Macaca mulatta: one gene and its partners. Each later gene encodes a partner of the first gene's protein in a complex. Links are inferred from orthologs where the notes say so. Each region holds a gene or a part of one and is shown in the gene's direction. Other genes may lie near its edges.

What was found.
Region 2: the proteins of NFS1 (region 1) and LYRM4 are in contact, whole or in part, in a crystal structure (PDB 6W1D), measured with the Homo sapiens proteins. The link is inferred for Macaca mulatta from reciprocal best matches to the Homo sapiens genes NFS1 and LYRM4. Residues at the interface, in NP_066923.3 of Homo sapiens: Leu56, Arg57, Pro58, Leu59, Pro68, Leu69, Pro71, Arg72, Leu74, Asp75, Leu78, Glu314, Tyr317, Arg321, Asp372, Arg412, Phe413, Thr414, Thr415, Glu417, Glu418, Tyr421; in NP_065141.3 of Homo sapiens: Phe23, Tyr26, Asn27, Tyr28, Thr30, Tyr31, Arg34, Arg35, Asp38, Val65, Arg68, Gln69, Ile72, Thr78, Asp79, Lys80, Leu81, Ile82, Ile83, Asn85.
Region 3: the proteins of NFS1 (region 1) and ISCU are in contact, whole or in part, in a crystal structure (PDB 6W1D), measured with the Homo sapiens proteins. The link is inferred for Macaca mulatta from reciprocal best matches to the Homo sapiens genes NFS1 and ISCU. Residues at the interface, in NP_066923.3 of Homo sapiens: Tyr360, Val361, Glu362, Glu364, Ser365, Leu367, Met368, Ala369, Lys371, Glu399, Asp400, His403, Ser404, His429, Arg432, Leu433, Glu435, Met436, Ser437, Pro438, Leu439, Glu441, Met442, Trp454, Thr455; in NP_998760.1 of Homo sapiens: Tyr35, Val40, His42, Tyr43, Glu44, Val49, Gly50, Ser51, Leu63, Val64, Gly65, Ala66, Pro67, Ala68, Cys69, Gly70, Val72, Lys74, Phe90, Lys91, Thr92, Phe93, Gly94, Cys95, Gly96, Ile99, Lys135.

What each region holds. Positions count from the first base shown.
Region 1 is NC_133415.1:88,511,515-88,516,119, reverse strand, and holds the start of NFS1 (cysteine desulfurase), read left to right. Parts: upstream 1-1,244; 5' UTR 1,245-1,308; coding exon 1,309-1,432; intron 1,433-2,007; coding exon 2,008-2,117; intron 2,118-2,796; coding exon 2,797-2,913; intron 2,914-4,125; coding exon 4,126-4,209; intron 4,210-4,605. Other genes in the region: ROMO1 (reactive oxygen species modulator 1), read right to left, coding at 835-965.
Region 2 is NC_133409.1:177,929,822-177,934,499, forward strand, and holds the start of LYRM4 (LYR motif-containing protein 4), read left to right. Parts: upstream 1-1,712; 5' UTR 1,713-1,920; coding exon 1,921-2,006; intron 2,007-4,678.
Region 3 is NC_133416.1:115,693,620-115,698,524, forward strand, and holds the end of ISCU (iron-sulfur cluster assembly enzyme ISCU), read left to right. Parts: intron 1-98; coding exon 99-209; intron 210-2,014; coding exon 2,015-2,093; intron 2,094-2,481; coding exon of another isoform or gene 2,482-2,528; exon of another isoform or gene 2,529-2,543; intron 2,544-2,743; coding exon of another isoform or gene 2,744-2,796; exon of another isoform or gene 2,797-2,811; intron 2,812-3,655; coding exon 3,656-3,741; 3' UTR 3,742-4,153; downstream 4,154-4,905.

The sequences.
Region 1 (4,605 bases):
GTCATATTAACTGCCTTCAGTTTGTGGAAGGCAGCAGATGCAGTGTAAAATACATAGGCAGAGAAACCAGTTTTTTGGACTGGTGTTGCCTGCAGGTTAAATAAGACCCAATAAAGACATCTATCTTTTAGTTTCTTGTTAATGATTTTGGAGTAAGGTTGGGGTTCAAGAGCCACCTCTGCAATTTACACGTAGTGTGAAGTGTAAAATGGGCATCTCATTATTTACAGGATTTTGAAAACTACAGGATTTAGCACAGTGCTTAACATAGAGTAAGTGCTCGGTAAATGGTAATTTACAATCTGGAGATAGAGCAATAACAGCTCCTAAATGTGAAAATGACTTTCAGAGTGTAAAGTTTGACTGCTTTATCTCTGTTGTATCCTGTATCCAGAATAGTAAAACCGCTGAACAAGTTTCTTTCCTCATGCGCAATTGGAAATAAAAATAAAAGCAACAGTAGTAACCAGTTACTGAGCACTTAATATGTGCCAGATTCTGTGCAAAGTGTGCTGATCGAATTTTTAGAACTCTATAAGGTAGACGCTGTCTTCATTCTACACTTAAGGAAACCCAGTCTCCAACTTGCCTAAAGTCACCGAACCAGTAAGAAAAGGGCCAGAAAGCAGTTTGACTCTAAAGCTCAAATTCTTAAGCACTGACCCTTCCAACCTGACCTTTCAGATTGAAGGTGGTTTGGAATGAGTCTGGCTCGCGATGGGACAGAGAGGGAAGTCTAAAGGATTAGGAGGCTGTGTTCAGGCTCCAGGCCGAATGGGGTAGGGCCGGAAGATCTGGTTGTCCTACCCAGAGATCACCGCCCGCGCCCCTCACCTGAGACAGGAAAAGGTGCCGAAGAGCGCCCCGGCCGCCATGCCCACGGCGCAACCCATCACGAAGCCCATCTTGACGCGGTCGAAGCAGCTTGGCTGGGACTGTCCGTAGGGACCCACGGCCACCGGCATCTGCGGGGGATAGGAAAGTGTGGGCCCAGGCGCTGGCCCAAGAGTCGGGCGTGCACGGAGGCGGCAGGCGGGAAGTGGGCCCAAGGGCTCGGGGGAAGTCAGGGAAGGAAAATCCATGGGTAGCCCGACTCCAACACCCTCTTCGCGTTCCGGCCCCGCGTCGCCCTGCGCCTACCTCACCTAGCTCGCGGCCTCGGTCGCTCAGCTCTACGTCTCTCCCGGAAAACGACTGGGAGGGCGCTCGAGGCCCGATGAATCGCTTCCGGATCGCGGGGAAGCACTTCCGGGAGCCTGGGGCCCAGGACCGTAGCAGCTTCGGAAGGTGGGCTCTGCCAGCGGGACCATGCTGCTCCGAGCCGCTTGGAGGCGGGCGGCAGTGGCGGTGACAGCGGCTCCAGGGCCGAAGCCCGCGGCGCCCACTCGGGGGCTGCGCCTGCGCGGTACGCTCGGGTCCCGCTCTCCGGGAGGTGCGGACCTGTCCCCTCCGCGCGGCGACGCAACTGAATATTCCGGAGCCTTCCTGTCCACCCTGCTGCCCAGACTCTCTGACCCTTTCTCTCAAACGACACATCCCTCAGACTTTCTTAGGCGGGTCCCCGAACGGTTGACCCCGGCGCACCACCCCTCGCACCCTGCGCGACAGGCCCCCAGAGCCGTGGAGGCGCGTCCTTCAGACCGCTCCTGGCCAAGTTACAGATGCTGCTCTGGGCTCCCGTGCAGACCGTTAGCTTCGGTCAGAAGGGGCTGCACCTACTCTGGCTCCACGTTCCTTCTAAATGGCTTGGCCCTTTACAGTCTTCCTCCCTAGGAGGCCATTTGAATATCACCTCAACAGCCCCTCCAGGAACCCTCTCTCCCTCTCCTTTACCTCCTTTTACAGCGTGTCAGGTATCTTCTGCTGTTTTCTTTCCATTGAGATTCGACCCCAGCATCCCTTACACTTATCTCACCCCCAGCCAGATTTTTCCTTCTGCCCTTTGGATGCCATGCGTTCATAGTTGCCTTCGGTCTTACTTGGCCACTCCATTCCATTTTTTGTCAGTTGGAGATCATGCTCCTCAGTCTGCTGTTCCCGCAGATACAACCGCTGCCCCGGAGGCGGGGCCAGTGCTGCGACCTCTCTATATGGATGTACAAGCTACAACTCCTCTGGTAAGGATGGAGCTTTTCCCAAGGCTGTTTATTAGGAAGTAAATGATGGGCGTGACCACGCAAAGCAATGGCTGAATCCCTGGAGAAGTGAGAGCCATGAAGGTGTGCTGGAAAAAGCACTGAGCCAGGAGTCAGGAGGCTTAAATTTGAGGCCACTGGCAGTGGCTTTACTACTCACCAGCGATTGACCTTGGTCAAATCACTTCAGCGCAGGCTCTATCGTAGTAGTTGAAAGCATGGGCTCTGGAATGAGCAGAACCACCACTTAGTAACTGTGTGAACTTGGACAAGTTTTAAATGGGTTAAAAGACTAATGCAAGTTTTCACCAGTGTGTGACAAGGGGTATTTGCCTAGGCCCTGTCCTGTCCCAGCCCCTTGTAGATCACATTGCCTGGCGGGAATGGAAACACCAGCAGAAACATGTCGGAACAAGGCAGTGTTTGTAGACTACCTGAGGGGAGGCAGAACGATCTGAGTTGGGATGGGTTGTGAGTGGGAGTGTATTAGGTTGATAGTTGGTGGGTAGTTTTGTGGGAACAAAAGAATGTTTGAGGCCTCCTCTAGGCAGTGCCTGAGGGGTTCAGAGTGTCTTGAGGCAGGGTGGGCAGGTCTGAGGGGTGGAGGGGGACCTGAATTGACTATGGTCTCAAGGAAAATGATCTGTTCTGTTGTGCTCAGGACCCCCGGGTGCTTGATGCCATGCTCCCTTACCTAATCAACTACTATGGGAACCCACACTCCCGGACACATGCATATGGCTGGGAGAGTGAGGCAGCCATGGAACGTGCTCGCCAGGTTAGTACACAGGAGTCTAGGAAGTTCTAAGGTCAGACGGGGCAGTGGCCTGTGGGAGGCATTTCCTTCTTGGTAGGTGTGCATGGATGTAGAAGTGGTTTTGGATTCTTTCTGGAAGAGATTCAGAGAGCAGCCTTGGAGTTTGACTGCAGGCATCTGATTAGTTCCCATATTTCCTGGCTAAATGACTTGGGCAAGTTATCTAATTTCTCTAAGCCTTATTTTCCTCACATTTAAAATGGAGATTCTACTCTGTAGGGTTACTGGGTGGGTTAAATAAGACCATGTTGGTAAAGTGTTTATTAACACAACACCGATAAGTAAGAAGTACTATAAGTAGTAAGAGCTCAATAGTTCTTTTTTTTTTTTTTTTTAAGAGGTGGAGTTTTCACATGTGTTGCCCAGGTTGTAGTGCAGTGGTGCGCAATCTTGGCTCACTGCAACCTCTGCCTCCCAGGTTCAAGTGATTCTCCTGCCTCAGCCTTCCAAGTAATAGGTATTACAGGCACACGCCACCACGCCTAGCTAATATTTTTGTATTTTTATTTATTTATTATTATTATTTTTTGAGATAGAGTTTTGCTCTTGTTGCCCAGGCTGCAGTGCAGTGGCACAATCTTGGCTCACTGCAACCTCCGCCTCCCAGGTTCAAGCAGTTCTCCTACCTCAGCCTCCCAAGTAGCTGGTATTACAGGCGTGCGCCACTACACCTGGGGAATTTTGTATTTTTAGTAGAGATGGGGTTTCTCCATGTTGTTCAGGCTGGTCTTGAACTCCTGACCTCAGGTGATCCACCCATCTCGGCCTCCCAGAGTGCTGGGATTACAGGCGTGAGCCACCGTGCCCGGCCTAATATTTTTGTGTTCTTAGTAGAAATGGAGTTTCACCATGTTGACCAGGTTGGTCTCGAACTCCTGACCTCAGGTGATCTTTCCACCTTGGCTTCCCAAAGTGCTGGGGTTACAGGGGTGACCCACCACACCTGGCCAATAGTTAATTAAAAAAAAAAATTATTAGTTTGCATTGGGCTGGAAAAGAGCCTGGGATCTGGGATATAACTAGAATTTGATTCTAGTAGGTACAGAGCTTCATCCAGGGCAATTTGGTGAATGCAGTGGAGCTCTTCTTGCTCCAGGGCTGTCCCACCTGTGTCTGCAGCTCTATTTCTGCCTGGGGAACTGATGTTATATATCTCTGTTTCTTGACTTGCAGCAAGTAGCATCTCTGATTGGAGCGGATCCTCGTGAGATCATTTTTACTAGTGGTGCTACTGAATCCAACAACATAGCAATTAAGGTAAGAGAAGGGAACCAGAGGGCATATGTGGGCTTTCCTGACCTGGGAGATAGTGTCCATCCACCTCATTTGGACTCGTATATGTATTTCACAGCCACCCATCCCCACCCTATTGTGAAGAGACGGCTTACACTCTTTCTGATTTGTTGCTTCCTTTAACTCTTTGCAGTCTACTCTTAAGTCTTTCCTCCTGTTGGTCTGAGTTGAGTGAGGTAATTGGATAGCAAAGGAGGTGGCCCTCAGGCCATTAACCATTTGTCTGGCAGTTACTTCAGAGAGTGGATAATGGTGATTGAACCGTTTCTCCATTCTTTTTTTTTGAGAGAGAGAGAGTCTCACTCTTGCCAGGCTGGAGTGCAGTGGCACAATCTCGGCTCACTGCAACCTCCGCCTCCC
Region 2 (4,678 bases), on another chromosome or scaffold:
TGCAAGTACACTAAAGAATGGTAAGGTCAGAGAAGTGTTTCCTGCCTTTAAAGTTCCTGAAAATAGAGGCTAGGCGTGGTGGCTCACACCTGTAATCCCAGCACTTTGGGAGGTTGAGGCAGGCGAATCACAAGGTCAGGAGTTCGAGACCAGCCTGACCAATATGGTGAAACCCCGTATCTACTAAAAATACAAAAATTAGCTCAGCAAGGTAGCGCGCGCCTGTAATCCCAGCTATTCGGGAGGCTGAGGCAGGAGAATAGCTTGAACCCGGGACGCGGAGGTTGCAGTGAGTCCGAGATCCTGCCACTGCACTCCAGCCTGGGCGACGGAGAGTGACTCCATCTCAAAAAAATAAATAAATAAATAAAAGGGAAAAAAAAGTTCCTGAAAATATAAAGTTGCTTAGATATACAGCAAGTTTATCGTTTTAAAACCAAATACACTAAAGCAGATGAGAACACAACCGTGACCAAGCGGTTGGGAGAAAGATGGATTTTAATGCAAAGTTGTTTTGTTTTTATGCATAAGGTACTCCTCGCTGTGCTCGAGTGCGGAAAGGTGGGGTTCTTCCTAAGGTTGATTACATAAAGCAAGATTCCAAAAACAAGAAAAGTGCTTTGCAAACACAGTAACTAGAACTGGCTGAAGCTTCCAGCGTCCAGTCCCATGCTCAAAGATCAGAAAAAGCAACTTTATCCACCACTTTAATAAAATGATTCAAAAAAGTTGAAGTCTTCTGAAGAAAGCCATGGTTGAAAACTTGCTCCGCTTCTTGGAGAACGCCTAAAGCCCTAACGGGCTCAAATTATTCTCCAAAGTCTAGAGCCCAAGCTGCATTTTACGCATTTATTAGACTACAAAACCACGGGGACTCTTCACTCAAAAGCAAAAACACATCCGGAAAGAGGAAAAAATCCATGGCCAATGTAACCCCCTAACCACACGAACCGCCCACGTCCTACCCCAGGCTGCAACGAGGTCGGCACTCACCCACCGCTCGCCCGGGAAACCCAGACCCAGGTATTTCAAAATCAGAAGCACGGCAGGCTCGTTGGCTCTCACGGGCAAGAATCTTAAACCCCAACTTCAGAGATACCCGTGCACGCTGGGCGCTGCCATTTTGACGGAAAGCGGGCCTTGCCCCGGAGGCCCCTACGCAGGTCGCCCTGAGCAGAGCCGGAGTGCCACGGAACCCCTGTCTCATCACCTCCACACCCAGACGTCGCATCCCCCGGCCCAAGGAATGCCAATAAATCCCACCCTGCCGACCATGATCGGGCGAAGTTAAGTCACCCTTGAAATCCCGCAAGGTCTCTCAGGCAGCGGCGAGGGCGGCCGCCGCCAGCGTGGGCGGGGCTGTCAGGGGCGGGGCGTCGACGCGGCGGCCTTCGGTAACCCGGGCAACGCGGCCTTCTAAAGGCACAAAGGGGCGCTGCGCCCCGAAACACAAATGTCTCCGCCAAAACCCCAGACGGTTCGCAAAGGCTCTCCGTGATGCGACTGCACGTCCCTCGAATGCCCGGACCCCCAATATCCGTCCCCCAGGAGCTTGGCTGGATGCACGGGCGGCCGGGCCTCTTATTTTCTCGCCCTCCGGCCGCGTGGAGATGCTGCTGGATCCCGAGCCTCCCGGCGGGGGCGGAAGCGGGAGCGGGGCGGGGCGGAGGCATCTCCCTCCTTGCACCGCCCCTTTAGCTGCCCCGAGCCCTGCCTTCGCCCGCCCCCGAAGCGGCGCGGGACGCCCGGCGCGGTCTGCGGTCCGCAGGGCTGCCGGCTTAGGCTTAGGACCGGCCCGCTGGCAAGGTCGAGCCGCTGCATTTTATTTCGTGCGTGGTTTCTGCACAGGCTGGAGTTCCGAGGTTGGGTCGTACTTGGGACCTCGGCGAAGAGGACCCGTTAATTTTTTTTCTTTCCAAAATGGCAGCCTCCAGTCGCGCACAAGTGTTAGATCTGTACCGGGCGATGCTGAGAGAGAGCAAGCGTTTCAGCTCCTACAATTACAGGTGACCCAGCGGGCACCGGGGACCGGGGGCCAGGGGCCGGGGACCGGGGATGTGGGTTGCCGTGGAATGTCCCCGGGAACTGGGAGCCACTGTCCTGCGCCGGCGTCCGCGAGGCAAGGACCGGGCTCCGCCATCGAAAAGCGTGCTCCTACCTACAGGTGTGGCCTCTGAGACCTCGGGGAGGAGCCCTTGTTTCTATCAGGGAAGACGTTCGTGTCCTGTGACGCTTTCCCCCTAACGACTATCTTGGTAGTTGTTCTAGGAGCATAATTAGTGTTATGTTTCTGCAGAAGAGAAAAAAAGGATGGAAATCAGCCATTGGTGAAGTTAAGGCCAATGTGTTGCATATGTAAAACTTCCCTTGAGCTGGAAGAGTTGAGAGTGGAAGTGGCCAGTGAGTTGCACACAGCGACAAAACTGAAGGCACACTCTAGCACCTCCCTAAAATTTCCTGGGTGTCGTAATGAGTTCTTTTGGTTGCAAGAATCAAATCCATTCTATTTAGGGTACGGTGGAAACGTGTAGCGGTAAAGGAAAAAGCGTCTCAAGCTTTAGAGCTGAAACAGTTTATCCTGGCTCACCAGACAGAGATCCCGCTTCCTGGACCTTGACAGCAGAATACTGAGGGCCTAAACTCTTACATCGTTAATATAACACATTCACTTTTTCCCACGCCTCCCCACTTCCCTATTTGCCTATGAGTCTTTTATTGTTACTCTTTGTATGTTTTTTGTAATTCAGAACCTCTGCTTTCACAGTGTTGCTGGTTGTGACCCATCATTTTCTTATGGATTCTCTCTGCATTTTTTTTAGGTTTGTTTTTTGTTTTGTTTTGTTTTTACTAACTACCTGCTCCTCTCTGAGTTTGAGCCATATTCCCATAAGAATCGGATTGGATCAACTCATCTCTTTACCCCAAGGCCCCCTTAGGTGACTGGCCAGACTGTGGATTGGATGTCATAAGAGCAGAGCCTACCCTTGGAACACACCTGGTTAGGTAGGCCGCGCTCCACCAGGTGTGTGAGCTGGCAGGCCCTGAGATGGGTCTGCCCAGTACAACCTCGGTCAGAGGACAGGAACACTAAGCCTCTTAAGCAATGATTCTCAAATTTTTAGAAACCTGCCTAGAAAATGTACTCACCCTGCAAATTTGAAAACAGCATCAGTGTCATGCCACTGAGGTTGTATCCACCCAGTTAAGTGGTAAAATTTCATGGGAGAGAATGATTTTACTTAATGACTTTGACTCTGGAGGATAAAGAGTGTAATAATAGGCATACTGGTGGAACTTTAGCAAGAATTAACCAAACATCTAGCATCAAGTACTTAACCAAGTCTGTTGAGGAAACACATGAAATATGCAAGTTAAATAAATAGAAAGCATTTGATTTCACCATAGTCTGGAGTAAGATAGTTTGTCATAAAGCTTACTCAGGATACACAAGGACTTGGAATCAGTAGGCAGTTCACACTGGCAGTGAGAGTCTTACGTGAGAGCACGTAGGAAAGTCAAGGTGGAGCCCTCGAAGACTATAACTTGGACAAGTTATTCAATCTCCGTATTTCAGTTTTCTTGTTTATGAAATAGACTGTTGGACTAGACAATCTCTAAGGACCCTTCCATTTCTGAAATTCTGTTTGGAAATGATTTATGAGCAAATGAGGCCCAAGTGTTTTCAAATGAGTAATTGCCAACTGAAGAGGAAAATCATTCAAACTTTAGGAAAATCATTCAAGGCTGTACCTGAAAGGCAGCAAATTGAAAATGGGTTTCAGTATGGGCAACTGTAAGATCATATGCGTTCAGAAAATAATTGTTCAAATTATACTTTATAAGCATATACTTTTAAGCTAAATTTATTATCCAAATATAAATATATTATCCAAAGGAGTCTGGTAATCATTTTATACTGTTGCCTGAGATCATGGACCTAAAAACCTAGATACCTGCTACTATTACCTCCCTAGATAAACTTACTTGTTATAAAATATGCCTTTCTTTTACATTAAGGCTGTGTCTTGTGAATTTCAAGAACAGTCCCTTTGTCCTTTCTAATCTCAGCAGCTGTTTGTCACTAATGGCAAATCAATGGCAACACAACATCCACTATCAATTCTGTGTGCCACTGCTATCTTATGTTCTTCACGTCTATTAACACATTTGTTTTGACAATAATCTTGTGAGGTAGGTACTATTTTTATTACCCTGTAAGGCAGCTGAGGCACAGGGAGGTTAAGTTACCTATCAAAACTAACACAGGTAGTGCTGAATAAGTAATCAAAAGTAGACTAGGAAACATTTTTTAATGACCTGCGAATTGTGGTGCCTAAAGTAATTGGAGTAGTGAACTAAATACTTTGGAACTCGCTTGCAAGACCTATAATACAGGCCACTTTTTGATAGCAGGAGCCCTGTCTGCTCCTCCAGTCTCAGCCCAAGTCCCACATGTGCATCCTGTCCTCTGTCATCATCTGTTGCAGTTTCCTAAATGTGCCACGTCCTCTTGGACCTCCAGGCCTTTGCAAGTACTGTTCTATCCAGCGGGACCTTTATCCTGTCTAGAGTGCCTCCTCTTCCTTCAAGATTCAGCTCAATTGTGACCTTCTCTGAACAAAAGTTTTCCCAACTCTCTTCATCCCACAGCCTCCACTCCCATCCCTCCCGCCACCCA
Region 3 (4,905 bases), on another chromosome or scaffold:
CCCAAAGCCCTTGGGGAAGGCCCCAATGAAACTTCGTGAGTGCCAAGTTCCAGAGGGTGGTCCTAGGACTCACCACTTAACTCTTGTCTCTTTTCTAGATTCAAGTGGATGAAAAGGGGAAAATTGTGGATGCTAGGTTTAAAACATTTGGCTGTGGTTCTGCAATTGCCTCCAGCTCATTAGCCACTGAATGGGTGAAAGGAAAGACGGTAAGGTTGCTCACAAATCTGACAGAATGAAATTGCATTCACCCCAAGCCTGTCTCTTGACGGGTCTAATGGGTCAAAAACAACCATAACTTTTTTTTAATATTCTGAATTTTTAAAGTTTCTGCTATACAGATGTTGATTATATTAATTCTTCAAATTGGGAATTATAGATCATTCTAGATGATGTTTGGGTTTTTTTCTTGTTGATCATTTTGTTTGTTTGTTTGGGTGTTAATTACATACAAAAAAGATCCTCACCTGTCCCTCTAACAAAATAGAATTTAGAAGAAATCTTTGGCTTTCTCTAAGGTTACCAATACTCTTATAATTTGTCAAGTCAGAGAGTTGTTATATGGTAGTTATTTTCTTGCTTATTTCCTCTCATGTTTCAGGAAGGGTTCTAGGTGGCTTACAAGGATTGGTGAAATAAACTAGCGTGTGTTAAAAGAGGGATTAAAGAATCAAAAACACAGCAAGGGTAGGGGCAAAGTGAACAACGAAATCAGAACAGTGATCCAGGTGGCTGATCACAAGCCCTCTAAAGGCAGAGATAATAAAGAGCTAGAACTTCTCTTTCATCCCTTTCTCTCCGAAGTGTCTTTCCCTGGTAGCTGCAGAGGTCAAAGGTCCCAAAAGCAGTGAAGAGCTGGACTTTCTAAAATCCAGTTGCTGTCAGAACCTCTCAGAAAAGCCAACCATCATGGCACTCATCTTTGCTGCCCCAAGGGACCAGGTGCAGGGAGCTGAGTCATGGAGGAGCATGCTTGGGAGCTGGCCAGCTCCACGGCAGAGCGGTTTGCCAGGCCACGTGCCACCTGCTTCCTGTGGCTCACGGCCTTCTGGCTGGCAAGCTCCTGTGGGCCAGGAAGCTCAGACCTAACCTGCTCTGGCAGGAGGTAGCCCTGAAGTGGTTTGTCAGGAACTGTCCTCAGGTGAAGGGAGAAATGAGACAAGGCACTTATGCTCCCAGAACCTGGCTCTTAGGGGACTGTGAATTGTGATCAGAAAATGGGAGAGAGAACATTTCTTTAACCTTTAAACTGAGATCGCCTATCTGAGTTTCAGGAGCAGAACCTGAATCAGCCAAGAAGGGTTAGCAGAATTGGGAAATTGAACGATAGTCAGACATAGCAAAGGAGCCCAGCTGTTGGGAAATCTGGTTTTCTGTAAGGCGGTGGGGCACTGTTCCACATGGGCGAGGATCTGTTTGCCTCACATTATCCCCCCCGGGCTGTCAACCAGAACCCAGGCGTCCTCCTCAGTTGATCTGGAGGAGCTGCTCCTATAGGCAAAGGGTGACACCAGAGAGAGCGTTCAGCCCGACCCGGCTGTGCCACTGCCACTGTGCCACTTACCTGACATCTTCCCAACCTCTCTGATGCCATGTGGCACTTCTAGTCAAAAGGATTTATTCTAACATTTCGTATGAGGACATCAGAGAAGCTGATATTCACAAAACCAGTATCGGAAATCACTACCTTTTAAGGAAAAGATTCCTGACACAGGCCACAAGCAGATCCCTAAGAGACTTCTCACCGGTTCCACTCCTGGCTTAGAGAAGTGTCTGGGCGGTCTTTGCTTACCCAAGCCAGGCAGTGCAGCTGTGTATACTTCATGCTTGAGAATCCCAGCTGCAGCTTTGATAGAGTGGGAGTCATCCTGAGAAGACCCTCAACCCTTTGAGTTATTAAACAGAAATTATCCCCACCAACCCCGAGGGCCTTTTTGGCCTCCCTTTTTTATTGTCTGGCCCTCACAAGATAAAGCGTTGCTAAAACTGCCCGTCTTTCCATTATGCCTCTCAGGTGGAGGAAGCCTTGACTATCAAAAACACAGATATCGCCAAGGAGCTCTGCCTGCCTCCCGTGAAACTGCACTGCTCCAGTAAGTCTCTGCTCTCCATACCAGTCAGCTGGGACATTTGGCAGTAATTTCAACTTGCATTTGCAACAGTCCTTTTAGGTCATGGAGCCCATGTTTATAACCCTCAGAATTAGAGCTCATGAGTCTGTCCTTACAACCTGCAGAGGGTTAGAGCCCCCGTGGTCTCACATTCATCCCTAAGAAAATCATGCCAGAAGGAGATATGCACCAGCCATCATACTGAGCACTTGATGGGCATCATTTCTAAACCTCACAGATATCCTTGAGTGCACAGTCGATGTCATTACTTTCCTCTTATGGATGAAGGAGCTGAGGCTTGGGTTGAGACACCCACGTCACATGGCTAATAAGTGGGAGAGCCAGAATTTAAGCTCCAATCTTTGATTTCAGAATCTGCTGTTTCTAGCAGAGGAGAAAACTCAGCTTTCTCCATAATCCCGTTTCCTGTGTATTTCTTCACTTCCTGTCTGGATGCTATAACTGTCAGGGTCTGCATCTGTATATATGGCACAACTAAGCCCAGTTGTACAATGTCCCCCTCTCTGCTATCCTAAAAAAAAGCTCACATGCCTTAAGACTTGTACTTGGCTTTCCAGTTTGGTCTCTGTATTAAATCTAATGCTTTTTCCATCATTTCTTAACCTTCTCAGGGAAAGAAGGAATGAGAAACATTAGCCTTAATGCATCGATGGAGGTTTACTAACCAAATTAGTTAAAAATCAGCAGAGAGTCAGGCCTCTTGCCAGGGTAATACTCACAAGGAGAAGAGCCAGGTGCCGGGGCAGACACACTAACTCATTCTTCAGGAAGCCTGGTCAGACCCAAGTTCTTTCCACTTGATCTGGAATTTTAAGTACCCATAAAGAAAGGTCATCACTTGTAAACATTTTCACATGGTTTCAGGAAATCCCTAGCCCTTTTATTAGGCATTTTTAGGTACTGAAACCTTTAGCTGATGTTCTCTGCTATTTGCTTGCTTTCTGCTGTCATTCCAGCTCTCTTGGTTTTTATTTTCCCCATAGCCTCACTTTGAATATTGACTCCTAAATAAAAGTGGTCAAACTCTCGATCACTAGAGGGTGATGTGGCAAATGCCATCCCATCAACAGATTGACATGATCTTTTTTCCAAAGGTCATGTCAACTTTTTATCATGATATGATTTTGTCCAAAGCCAGACTTTGATGGGAGCAGGCAAGAACTAACATTTGCTATGTCCCTACTATGTGTTAGACATCTTCCGTAAGTCCCCACACTATCCTGGCAAGAAAAGCATGATTATCCCAGTTCTATAGAGTAGAAAGTAGGTTCGAAGAGGCTAAGGAACTAGCCTGGGATCACAGATATTTAAACCCTAGTCTGTCTCCAGGATTACCCACAGGAGTAACTCAGCTCAGTAAGTAGCTGCTGACCTGCCCGGCAACTCCTCACCCCAGCTTTCTGTCTTGGTTACCCCGTTAGTCCCCACCAGCACCACTTCCTCTAAGCTCTTAAAGATTCTATTCCCAAAACCACTTCTTTCGCATCTAGAAACTTAGGCTTCTTTCCTTCCGTTACCTGTAGTGCTGGCTGAAGATGCAATCAAGGCCGCCCTGGCTGATTACAAATTGAAACAAGAACCCAAAAAAGGAGAAGCAGAGAAGAAATGAGCCCTCCCTGGGAGAAGCCTCCAGCAGGCCACACCCCTGTTTCCCACCTGCCGTGCAATCACCTTAGATGTTCAGAAGCCGCTCCCTCTCCACTGAAGAGCTATGAGATACGCACAATACTTGCTGTTCACATTATGACTCTCATGCAAGCAAAATACACAGTTTCATTGTTCTGAATCCCGTGGTTTCTTTCAGTCCACTTTTATCGCCTTAACCTAGTTAATGTGTATTTTGAATTGTGTGTATGACCTCAGAACTGAAATTGATAAGTTGCAAATGTTGATAGCCCATGAAGTACGTAAGTATCTAATTTTACCTGAATTGATTTGGAGGGAAATTACCAGTAGAATGCCTTTGTCTGAATATTTGATAGAACTAATTGTTGTACATAAAACAGATCTGCATATATATAAAAAAATAATAATAAAACAATGGAAGATAATGGTGTTCTCTAATAAGCCTTGTCTCTTGGGCCCATCATTCACTCCAAAGTGGTGCCCAAAGCCCCTTGGGGTTCCCAGATGTTGGACCGCAATGACATACACAGCTCTCCAAGCAAACAACAGTAAAGGTCATGTACAAGATTTTTTCCAAAGACAAATACACATAATATTTTTTTGGAACAAGGATGAAAGGAGATGATTATCGCTTTTCATTGTTCTTTGTGAGATAATAGTTGACAGCTCGAAGTGAGTCTTGAAGATTCTTTTTGTAATTTCACTGGTTGCTCAAATCTAAGAAGCATTGGCTTAGCACCCTAAAGATACGTGAAGAGCACCTCGGGAATGAGTTTAAAATGCAGATTTCTAGGCCCAAGTTTCTGACTTCTGTCTGGGCAGGTAATTCCAGAGCCCCTGACTTTTAAGAACCACTTTAAGAACCAAGGTCAGGCCGGGCACGGTGGCTCAAGCCTGTAATCCCAGCACTTTGGGAGGCCGAGACGGGCGGATCACGAGGTCAGGAGATCGAGACCATCCTGGCTAACACGGTGAAACCCCGTCTCTACTAAAAAATACAAAAAACTAGCCGGGTGAGGTGGCGGGCGCCTGTAGTCCCAGCTACTCGGGAGGCTGAGGCAGGAGAATGGCGTAAACCTGGGAGGCGGAGCTTGCAGTGAGCTGAGATCCGGCCACTGCACCCCAGCCTGGGCGGCAGAGCAAGACC